3 linked regions of the Caenorhabditis elegans genome follow. The protein of the gene in region 2 purifies or fractionates together with the protein of the main gene of each other region. This does not show direct contact. Each region holds a gene or a part of one and is shown on either strand. Other genes may lie near its edges. The genes, in order: Y41C4A.32, pid-3 and egc-2.

Region 1 (4,168 bases), on a different chromosome or scaffold from region 2:
AGCCAGTTAAAGTGGTCCGGCACGTGGTGAAGGTGAGTTTTCAGTTTTTGAGCCCTAGAGGGGCTTTTCCCAAACAAAAAAAATTAATTTTTTTTCCAGGAAACACCTATAAAAACTCCGTACTTAGATGTTTGCCCAAAATGTCAGGTTGGTACAGTTTAGCTTTGAAAATTGAAAAATTAATTTTAAAAACAAGTTCCAACGAAAAATGCTCATATCTCTTGCGGCAATAGTGCTAACAAAAAGTTGTCAACTAATAAAATGTAGAACATAGAATTTGCAACAAATTACTAGTTGACAACTTTTTGTTAGCTATTCTCTCTGTCGAGTTACAGGAGTTTAAATGCACAGATAAGTTGAGGGTCTGTACCGTGAGCCTACTTTCACCCGCATTATCTTATGGATGAAAAATTTTTTTTTTTTAATTTTCAATAAAAAGCTGTAGATAATAAAATTTGCTACAATTTATCAATTAACGATTTTCTGATAAGTAAAATGAGAAAAAAGTTACAACAGTTTGAAATATTGTGGGAAAAATTCAAAAAATTAAAATTTCTAATTCTAAACTCTGATCGCTCATATCTCCACGGGGATTTATTTTATTGAAATTTTGTTACCTATCAAATTATAGAAAATTTAATTTTCTACAACATGTCAGTTAACAAATTTCTTGTATCTTTTGTATGCGCCGAGTTATACGTGTTTAAAGAGATGTGGTCTCTGAGAGCGCTCTGTATTTCCAAACTTTGATCGCTCATATCTCCGCGCCGGATAGCTTTATCAAATTTTTGCCAACTAACAAAATGTAGAAAATTGAATTTTCTACAACTTCCTAGTTAACAAATTTCACAAATAATTCGCATCTTCCTTCCAGACAACAATAATGACATCAGTAACAACACATATCGGAATGTGTTGGTGGCTTATTTGCTTCTTCGGAACCTTTTTATTCTGTTGGCCTATTCTCATTTGTCTGTGTTTTGATGTATCCAAGGATGTCGATCATAATTGTCCAAATTGCGGATTGTTACTTGCCACGTCGAATCGAGCCGGTTTTTAATTTTTAGAAACAGAAATTTCCAGAAATTTGTAAAACATGTATTTTTTTTTGTGACGGGCAATGAAGATTTTGAATTTTTTTGTTGGTATTTTGTTATCCCTTGACATTAAAAATTAACTGTAAGGCTTTTTTCAGTGCTTTCTGCCGTTCGGCAAATTCGACAAATCAGCAAATTGCCGGTTTGCCGACTTTGCCGGAAATTTTCAACTATGACAGTTTGCCGGATATCGACTTGCCGGAAATTTTTAGACGGATTTTTTATAAGACGGAAACATTTAAATCGGTCCTTTAAAAAAAATTTCCGTTTTCTTTAGAAATTTTCATTGAATTTGCTTACTTTTCAAAATAGCTGTAGGAACAGCCGATTTGCCAGAAATTTTCAATTCCGGCAACTTGCCAATTTGCCGATTTGACGGAAAAAATTGTATGCTGCCCATCCCTGAAAAATTAATATTCTGAAGTTTCCAAAAAAAAATGTGCAAAACCACAATTTGCCGAAAATTTTCGGCAATTGTAATCACAAGTAAAGTCACAAAAATAATCACAAGTAAAGTCACAGAAAAGACAGAAATCATGGAAAAGGGCAACCCTCTCACTTTCGCACACACTCTCCGCTCCATTACGTTGCCCTAGGGCTAGTTGGAAGTGTTGAGTTGTCCGATTGTGAAATTCCGTAGAGTATATAACAAAGAATGGGAAAAATGGTAAAGCAGATTAGATTTATCTGAAAAATGTCCTCTCCAGCTCCAAACTTCGTTTCCCACTCGGATCGCGTCAAGTCGGTGGACTTTCATTCTGAGAAGCCATGGATTTTGACTGCTTTGCACACTGGAAATGTTCAAATCTGGAATTATGACACTAAAACGTTGGTCAAGGCTATGGAGGTGAGTTAAAACGATTCTGATTTTTCAGTAAAGGAGGGGGTGTACTCTAGCTCTACTTACATAGGGGTGCTTATCTCAGCGGAGAGAAAATTTTTCAGAAAAATATCTACTAGCAAGTTATAGAAAATTTTAATTTCCCACATTTTCCAAATTGATCACTTTTCTATTTCAACTCTCCAGCCCCGATAAACTGGTTTTTACTAATTTTTTGAAACTTTTGTATTTTTTGGTTCTTTTTTTTCGGTCGTTTTTTATGGAATTTATGATCGACTTCGGAATGCCCAATTTTTCCTGACTTTTGACTTTTTTGACTTTTTTTTGGATTTTTCGGAATATCTGGGTATTTCTCTTTTCCCTCCCCCAGCCCCGCCTAAGCCTAAGACTAAGCCTATACGTAAGCCTAAACCTAAGCCTAAGCCTAAGCCTGAGCCTAAGCCTAAGCATAACCATAACCCGAAGCATAAGCCTAAGCCTAAGCCTAGGCATAAGCCTAATCCTACCCGAAGCGTAAGCCTAAGTCTAAGCCTACGCCTCAGCCTAAGCCTAAACTAGAACATTCACATTACATTTGCCAAGTTTTTCACCGTTTCAAAATTCATAAATTATATTTCCAGGTCTCCGAAAAATCCACGCGTGCCGCCAAATTCATCCATCGTAAAAACTGGATCGCCACCGCTTCCGATGATCAGCAAATCCGGATCTTCGACGCTGAAACGTTCAGCCTAATCAACGAGTTCACAGCTCACTCTGACTTTATTCGCTCCCTAACCGTGCACCCGACACTTCCCTACCTCATATCGGCTTCCGACGATCGTAAGATCCGAGTTTGGGATTGGGAAAACGAGTGGAGAATGGAGCAGGAATTCCAGGAGCATGCTCATTATATCATGCAAATTGCCGTGAACCCTGAAGACCCGGAGATGTTTGTCAGTGGATCGTTGGATAAAACTTTGAAAGTCTGGAAGCTCGGTGAGCAAGAGTCGATTTGCACTCTGGAGGGTCATGAGAAGGGGGTGAATTGTGTGGAGTTTCTGACCGGTGGGAGAATTGTTTCGGGCTCCGATGATTGCTCAATTTGTGTTTGGGATATTCAGGTGAGCGGGAATTTGAAGTTTTATAAACATGGTGCATCGAGCGGAAACACCACGCTTAACTTTAGGAGCTCGTATATCGCTGGTATTTTATTCTATCAAAATGTTGCTAATTGACAAAATATTCTTTGTTTGTTTCTCTATAATTTTGTAATTGACAACTATTTGATAAAGTCCAAACCAACCAAGATAAAAGTGGTCAAAGTTTAAAAAAAGACATGGTGCATCGGAACATTTTTCAGACCCAAAAATGCATTGAAACTCTAAAAAATGCTCACAAAAACAACGTTACCTTTGTCACCCCATTCAAGACATGGATTATCTCCGGAGCCGAGGATTCTACTGTAAAAATTTGGAATTCGCAGACTTTCTCGTGGGTTTCTTTAGCTCAACTTCAATAAAATAAATTCAAAACCTAAAACTTCAGATTGGAAAAGGAGTTGAATTTTGAGAAGGGAAGAGCTTGGTGTGTGGCTGCTGGAAAATCCGATGCAATTGCAGTTGGATTTGACTCTGGAGCTGTTACAGTGGAAATTTGAGCTTTTTCGGAAATTGTATGTGCTAAATAACGATATATTATAAATATTCTGCAAATGTATACAGTTTTTTGAAATAAAGTGTATTCAAGTTAAAGTTTCGAAAAAAACGTCTGAAAAGTATGGAATTTTGAGAACGAAAATTTGAAAAATACTGTTGTTTCCAACATAAAAAAAAGTGAATTTTTTGATTAAAAAAATTGGAAAATTTGTTTTTTTTTGTTGCAAAAACACAGGGTTCTGGCAATGCATGGGAAAGCCGTGTACTCCACACGGACAAATACATTTAGTTTTACAACTAAAATCGAGCCGCGACGCGACACACAACGCGCCGTAAATCTACCCCGGATATGGCCGAGCCAAAATGGCCTAGTTCGGCAAACTCTTCCATTTCAATTTATGAGGGAAGCCAGAAATCTGTGCAAAAAAATTATGCGTTTTTTTTTTGAAAAAAAATGTTTTTTCCGGAAAAATTGGCAAACTGTGGATTTTTTTTTAAGGTGTACATGTCCAAAAACCCCTTTATCATTCGACAAAGTATTTATCAGGCAATTCAAAGTCTCATAACAATATCATTAAGCCCAGGAATCGGTGACA
Region 2 (3,743 bases):
GTCCGCTCCAACTTGTCCGCAGTGCCCGCCACCTGGAAATTCGCGGAGAAGCTTGAAGTTCTGACGTCACTGGTTTCACAGCTGGAGACTGATGGTTTTCTGCGGAACTACGATGCGATGACACCAACGATAACCCAGTTTTCTGAGGATGACTCGCTGCAATACATATTCCCAGTGGAAGAGAATTTGGAAATGAGCACAGCGTGCAGTTTCGTGCCGTCACTTGATATGCAGAGCACCCAGAATCCGTCTCCATCTACTTTGAAAACTATGAAAATCGAGGAAAGCCGGAATTTCCAGACCATGTCGGCGATGACGTTGGCCTGCGGTGGAGCTGCAGCAGATATTGTCACCGTGCCGGCCGACCGGATCACGTTTGCCGCTGGCAAGCTGGAAGAAGTTATTCGAGTCACTAACGTCTCGCAATCGCATATTATGTTCGCTTTGAAGGTGAGGTCTCGGTTTGGCGCGTAAAATTGTATGTATTGTGGTTTTTGTGCAATTCACCGACTTCAATGCATCGGACTTTACGCACAAGTTGGTACTTTGTGATTTTCCAAACATTTTTGCTGAAAAAAAAAATTGAAAATTCGAATTTGCGTGTAAAATTAACTCGCAAATTATTACGATATTATCAAAATATATAAACTGACATGTGAAACGTGGCTTATTTTTTATTTTGTTTTTTATTTAAGCGCCTCCCATTTTTTTAAATGAGCTAATAAATAAAAATTTTAACGAAAGGCCAGGAATGGGAGGAGCTTAAATAAAAAACAAAATAAAAAATAAGCCACGTTTCACATGTCAGTTTATATATTTTGATAATACTTAACACAAAATTCTGAGAATGCTTATGGCGCAACATATTTGACGCGCAATATATCTCGTAGCGAAAACTACAGTAATTCTTTAAACGACTACTGTAGCTCTTGTGTCGATTTAACGGCTCGATTCTAGATAGAAATTTTTAGATAGCTAATTAGATATGGATTTTCGAAATATCGATAGAATATTAAAATTAAGCAAAAAAGTAAATAATTCGAAGAAACGAATTGTTTTCATTTCGAAAACGAAACCCGTATATCGACACAAGTGCTAAAGTAGTCCTTTAAAGAATTACTGTAGTTTTCGCTACAAGATATTTTGCGCGTCAACATTCTAGAAATCTAGAAATTTCTAGATTTCTAGAAAATCTAGAAATTTCTAGAAATTTCTAGACGCATTCTAGAAATTTTGTGCTCCCGTAATATACACAAATTGAATTGTATAATGTAAATTGTTTGAAAACCGATAATTTCAGACAAATGCCGACGCCTACCTCATCGCTGCTCCAACTTCTGGAGTTCTTCTGAGCGGACAAAGCATGACAATCCGTGTTGGAGTCACTGGCAACTACTTCGATGATTTTTCGGATCCTGGAGTTTCCATTGATAAGGTTATTTTATAATTCTATTGAATAAAACTTCAATTTCCGATTTCCAGCTCGCCATCGACTATGCTCTGATCCCCAGCCGTTCCTACTCCAAATTTTCCTCCGAGTTCTTCTATTCCCAGAACCGACGTCGCCTCGCAATTCGTGTGTTCTATCAATGATTTGTCTCTTTTCTCGACTTTATTTTATTTATTTTTGTATTTGTAAAAAGCTTTTATGAGTAAAATTGTGTTTAAATCATGTTTTCCTGGCATTTCTACTTCCATGGGAGATTTCGATCCCTAAAACTGAGGTTTCAAACAAGCTGCAAGTACGCTCTACCGTACGAAGCCATTTTCAAACGCGGGAAATTGTTTCAAAAATTAATTTCGGAGATTTCTTTTTCATTTTTTCTGATTTTCTCGGCCTGTTTCTTCAGTTTTCTTGTAAAATTTACTGTTTAATTAATAAAAATGTACATTTTTCAGAAAATGGTTGCCCATCAGAAGGCGGATTTCAAGTCGAAATGGGCGATGGTCGTGACTGTCAATAACCTGAATGACAAGAAGCGAGCCGATTTGAGAGAATTTTCCGAGTGGTTTATCGAGACTTTGAGATTGGAAGGAGCTTTTATTGGTCACTATTTCAATTATGAGGTTATTAAGAGTTAATAATTAATTAATTATAAATGCAATAATTCCAGGCTGCACCGGTGACCATCGTCGAGACTTTGCCAGGCAATTTTGACTCATGCACTAATGCATATCAGAAGATTCACAAGGTTTTGATGGATAAATTAAATAAAATTCAATTAAATAATTCTTCAGGAGCATCCGCAGGTCGTCCTCGTCGTGCACATTCTTCCACAGTCGCAGTCGAACGAGTACGAGTGGATGAAGGTGTTGGCGTCGAGATACGGATTCGTCCGTCAGGGATTGCTCTACGATAACTGTGCCAATCGTTTCCAAAATGTGGAAACCGATCAGAATAGCGTGTTCCGGAACATGTGCCAATGGATTTATCGTAGCGGCACCGCGATTGTGAGAAATGAGGGAAAGTAAGTCGAATTACATTTTTTTATTTAGCCATTTTTTATTTAATTCCTGTGTGTTTCAGCGCGTGTGGAATTCTCCATGGAAAAGATCCGAAACCGACGTTCGACAAGGTTCTCTTCAACAGCGAAGACATCAAGGATTCCGTTTTCAAAGTTCTTCACGCCGAAGAAGAGCCGAGAGGTGCGGATCAGGAGAACATGCTGAAGATCAGTGGATATCCGGGGATGCTCAACACGTTCGGCATCGCACAACTTCTCACCCCATATCGTGTCAATGGGATCACCATCACCGGCGCCCAGTCGGCCGTCGTTGCCCTGGAGAACAAGTTTCAAGTCTATCAGGCCGTGCAGGATTTCAACGGGAAGAAGCTCGATCGCAATCACAAACTTCAAGTTAGCAGCCTCGTCGTCTCGTCGCCAGCCGTTCCACTCGAGTGGCCATCGCTCAAAAAGTCGAAGAAGCTCGTGGAGCAAGTGGGAAAGCCGATCAGACTTTCGAAAGTCTCCTCTTAAATGTGCCCCAATTTGCTTATAAGTTATTTTTTTCTGATTTCTGATGATCTTTCTTCGATATCTCGACCTTTACCGGTTTTTTTAATCAATTTGCTCATATTCCTTGATAAATAATCTCTCCATTAGCATGTGCGATTTTTTTTTCATTTTAATCTGTTAAAATCGGGGCTCGATTCTTGTTTTCGTTGGAGAGAATTGTTCTTAAAATAAGTAATTTTTTAGATGGAAGAAGGCAGCTCCTCACAGCCATCCGACGACTATGAGCCGAGATATAAAATTTGTAAGATTTTCCAGGTCTCGACACGACAATTTGTGTTCATTACAAATAGGTGTGCGCCTTTAAAAAAGTACTGTAATTCAGAGAAGATTTTCTGCGGAATTTTGATAGATTTTTCAGAGTTTTTCTCTCGATTTGTTGAAATTCAAGTGTTTTATTGTTATACTAGAACATTAAGCATATTTTTACTAAAAAAAAACAAAAAAAATCGAATAAAATTATGTGTCGAGACCGGTGTTCGGCCCAAAACTTCCACAAAAAATAAAATCTCGAAAAAACTCGTGGCGAGACCCAATTTTCTTCCAGCACGACCAAATCAACAAATGCGACTTCCTATAATTCGGCCTAAAATCCCGCCGAAATCCTCAGGCCCACCGGTTCGCCTGATCACCTCCGCCACTCCACAACCGATAGCGCCGAGCACATCGAACCCGCGGCCGCTGATCTCACTGCTCGATCGGACAGAGTTTCGCGATCGGAATCGACCG
Region 3 (3,781 bases), on a different chromosome or scaffold from region 2:
CAGATGATTGGGATTTCGGAGATCCGGTTCTAGACTCAATCACTAAGAGAATGAGTCAAATGTTTGCCGGGAAACCGTTCCTTCATGAAACCTTGATAATGGAGTCAGAGCAATCACTCAGCGAGCAGGAAAAACGAGAAGCTCAATTACTTTTTGATAGAGAACGACGTATGGAGAACTATGATCCATTGAGTGGCCTGAGCAGTTCTAACTTTTATAACAATGCTCCTGGAAGCTCAATGGGAATGATGGGTCCACCACCAGTTCCGATGTTCAATAATAACATGCAAAATAGTTTCAATAATCATTGGCAACAATCTCCTAATCAGCTTGCACCCAATTTTGGATCTTATCCACCACAGCAATTTCCACAACCGATGCCAAACATGTCACAATTTCCACCTCATGGACCATCACCTCAAATTCCATCAATTCGTCCATCACCAATGCCTCACACGCTTCGAATGAATGTCAGTCAATTCCATCACCAAGGAGGTGGTCATACGATGACGTCATTCAACAATGGCTATCCGAATAATAACAATGGAGGAGCTATAGGAAACCCTCAACAAATGCTTCCTCCAAGAGATCCATCAGCTTTTCCGGGAGCTGTTATGAGCAAAATACCATCATTTTCCCCGGCTGGAGCAGTTCAACAATTGATTACTGATAGACGTGAGTTTGACGTTTAAGTTTTTTTGAAAATTCAAATTTTTAGAACTCGTTTTTCCCATTGTCGGACATAGAGATCAGCTTCATCAGGTTCAGGCAAATACACCAATACAGTTAGTTGTTCCGAAAAATGGATATTATGTGAAACTACGTGATGGAACAATTCTTGACGCTGTCGGAAGTGTTTTTGAGAATCGTTAGTTTACTAGAAAAAATTTCGTATAATTTTTTAAAATTTATAGATGCCCGTCAGCTTCGTGATATGTATCTAAGCAAAAATTTCAACCATGATCCGCAGCAGGTTCAAGAAGTCATCGATCTTGATTAACAACGTCTTGCATTTTTTTCTTTTGATGTACATTTCGTTTTTTATCATATAAAATACAACATCTATCTCAATGCAACATCCAATGAGATCTCTGATAATTCACTATCATTTTACTCAATTATTTTTCCTCTTATAGAGGCTCCTAAATTAATTTTAGGCAAGTTTCGAATTTCCACATTTCAACTTTGTCCACACTCTTCCCTTTTATCATTAGTATGTCAATTAATTAAATTTTTCTGTTTTTTCCAACACAGTAATCAGCTCCGCTGTTCGGCAAGCTGCCAATTGTGTTTTATACGCCTTCTCTTTTAATTTAATGAATAAATACGAATAATATTTAAATTATCGGATTCGCTTGAAAGAGAAATTGGAATAACATTTTTCCGCAGATCCCCGTTTTGTAGTGCCTCTTAATAACGCGTTTTTAAATACTGACTTGGTTACTGTAGGTTTTGGTCCCGACACGAAATTCTGAACTCGTTCGGCACGTTTCTTCAATTTTCTTCATTTCTCTCACCCATTTCTGATGAATTAATGGTTTTTAGATTAATTTTTAAATATTCAGCGTTCTGCCAGTTTCTCAAAATAATTTTTTTAGACATTTCGGTCGGATATGTCGGAATTGTCGAGTGAAATGAAGTCAATGGAAAACGGAATGTCGGCGAGAACGGTATTTTTTATCAAATTAATGACAATTTGTAAACTATTCATTTCAGGACAGACAACATTATCTTGAGAGAGCTCAATACTCTCCATGGCCAAAAACTCAAAATAGTGGAGCATTCGGAGCGCTAACTGATCAACCGAGAAAGTATCGAGGAGGATTTGGAGGAGGTGAAGGCTTCTCTGATTTTGGATCCGTTAGTGGACTTGGCGGTAGAATCCCCAGAAACTCCTCTCACCTAAACGACAGTTCTGGATTTGGTTCCGTACGAGGAGGGTACAGCAGTTATCGAGAAAGCAGATCATCTCGTGTTGCTGTTTCGGATGCTCTTTACATGAATAATGAACGTTGCGTGACACCTCTGCCATCTGAGAATATAATGGGTAGTCCACGGCGTGGATCTTTCCGAAGTTCGCCCCGATCCGATGGTATGGGATCTTCATCGAAGAGACCACGCTCTGGCCGCCGAACCGGTAGACGTGGGCGAGGTGGGCCAGGCCACTGCTTCCATTGTCAAGAGCATGGACACATTTCGAGAATGTGCCCGAAGAAGGTTGGAGAAACGGATGAACACGGAGATGGAAAAGATATCGAAGTGGAACCATTTGAGACGAAAGATTTACTCCAAGAAGACGCATCAAGATACTCTTCTAATATGAAGGCTTTGCATGGAGGTTATTGTTTGAATACTAGGAAAACGTAACAATTTTTATGTTTTCAGGTGGACTGTATCAAAGCAAGTTGGACAATCAAAAGGCCCGTGAGTCTTATTATGGAGGGTACGGCTACAGCATCAACAGTCTCACCCCAAGAAGTGTTGGCAGCGTGAGAAGTGGTTTCACAGCACCAATGATGTCGCCCGAAATTGACAAATTCTCAGAGCAGTTGGACAATGCTTTGAAGCTCAGCAATGTCGAGCCGGTAGCTCCGTCGCCATACGTGATGACTATCACTGGAAAAGGGCCAGCTGAAAAATTGATGAAAGAAGTGCCACCAGTTGCTCCAATCAACACTCTACAGAGCAGAGAAGGAGCCAAACGTGAGATTATCAAAATTCTATAATTGTATAATGTTCATTATTACAGAAATTTCTACGGAGACTTTGTCAATCGAGACACGCAGAACTGTGATGCGCGATGGAGAATTCCACTTCGAGGAGACGACTATCATCAATTTCCCACGAGTTCTTCCGCCCAACGTCCGTGTCATCGCTGCCCAGTTCGTGCCGGTCGCTTCACAAAATTCATAATTTCTGATAATTATGATGCTATCAAGGAAAATGTTTAATAATTACTATTGGGAACTCTGCCCAATTTGCAGCGTATTTTTACTGTTTTTCATTGTTGTTCCATTTATTGACTTCTAGGTATTGTTTTTTACGTTCTGGAATTGTTTCTGTCCTAAATTTGAAAACTTGTATTTTTGATTTGAGTCTTCAACCTCATTTCATAAAAGTGTTTCATGTTACTCTCGTTTCATAATTATACACACTCAAACTTGAACATTTTCTACAGTATACTTCATTCAAAGGAAATCTACGCATTTTCAGTAGAACTCGGAGGCGATCGTGGAATTGGCGGAGATTGGGCGAGTGGAGCGTCCGGAGATGGAGTTCTTGGCGGAGGCGGCGTCGTACTAGTAGTCATTCCCAATTTTTTGCGGATTGATTCAAGAGACATGACTTTATCTCTGGAAATATTGTAAACATGAAAAAACTTCTTCGCATATAAAAAACCAGCCGTGGACCGCACCTTCGGCGCGGCCCCCGACTTCTGGGGCTGAAAATTAATTTTTTATGAAACTACCGTAACCCTACAGTATTCCTACCGTACCACTATTGTACCACTACAGTACCCCAACTATATCCCTACACTAACCCTAACTCACTATCCCTCCAGAAGCCAAAACTTCACAGACTACAAAGGCTACATAGACTACAAACTATGGACACACAGAATAAGCGCTTTATATATAGTAAATGATACTTACTTCAAACTAACTTCTACTCCATATCCTTTCTGTGTCTTGCGAATCATGTCCAATACAGAATGATCTTCATCTTGGTTTGAGCTGGAAATTACACATATTGAAAATGCTCCTATAACATGATTGTGAAG

Evidence for each region.
Region 1: the proteins of pid-3 (region 2) and Y41C4A.32 purify together in Caenorhabditis elegans (affinity purification with mass spectrometry, with the first as the bait; one large-scale study listed by BioGRID). This does not show direct contact.
Region 3: the proteins of pid-3 (region 2) and egc-2 purify together in Caenorhabditis elegans (affinity purification with mass spectrometry, with the first as the bait; one large-scale study listed by BioGRID). This does not show direct contact.

What each region holds. Positions count from the first base shown.
Region 1 is NC_003281.10:11,719,940-11,724,107, forward strand, and holds Y41C4A.32 (Beta'-coat protein), read left to right. Parts: upstream 1-1,766; 5' UTR 1,767-1,791; coding exon 1,792-1,944; intron 1,945-2,319; exon of another isoform or gene 2,320-2,386; intron 2,387-2,558; coding exon 2,559-3,038; intron 3,039-3,277; coding exon 3,278-3,408; intron 3,409-3,462; coding exon 3,463-3,574; 3' UTR 3,575-3,668; downstream 3,669-4,168. Other genes in the region: Y41C4A.11 (LITAF domain-containing protein), read left to right, coding at 1-32, 100-147, 875-1,060; Y41C4A.12 (Exocyst complex component Sec10), read right to left, coding at 4,125-4,168.
Region 2 is NC_003279.8:2,618,757-2,622,499, forward strand, and holds pid-3 (Protein pid-3), read left to right. Parts: upstream 1-1,893; 5' UTR 1,894-1,902; coding exon 1,903-2,067; intron 2,068-2,114; coding exon 2,115-2,192; intron 2,193-2,238; coding exon 2,239-2,468; intron 2,469-2,527; coding exon 2,528-2,978; 3' UTR 2,979-3,103; downstream 3,104-3,743. Other genes in the region: spe-47 (Major sperm protein), read left to right, coding at 1-450, 1,301-1,435, 1,483-1,593; Y23H5A.2 (t-SNARE coiled-coil homology domain-containing protein), read left to right, coding at 3,201-3,258, 3,562-3,743. UniProt on the Caenorhabditis elegans protein: Component of the pid-1 and tost-1 variants of the PETISCO complexes, which have roles in the biogenesis of a class of 21 nucleotide PIWI-interacting RNAs (piRNAs) that possess a uracil residue at the 5'-end (also called 21U-RNAs) and embryogenesis, respectively.
Region 3 is NC_003282.8:8,900,048-8,903,828, forward strand, and holds egc-2 (CCHC-type domain-containing protein), read left to right. Parts: upstream 1-1,598; 5' UTR 1,599-1,613; coding exon 1,614-1,670; intron 1,671-1,716; coding exon 1,717-2,338; intron 2,339-2,385; coding exon 2,386-2,703; intron 2,704-2,749; coding exon 2,750-2,913; 3' UTR 2,914-3,130; downstream 3,131-3,781. Other genes in the region: rad-54.L2 (Helicase ARIP4), read left to right, coding at 1-675, 719-868, 915-1,000; Putative serine/threonine-protein phosphatase C27B7.6, read right to left, coding at 3,200-3,353, 3,654-3,734.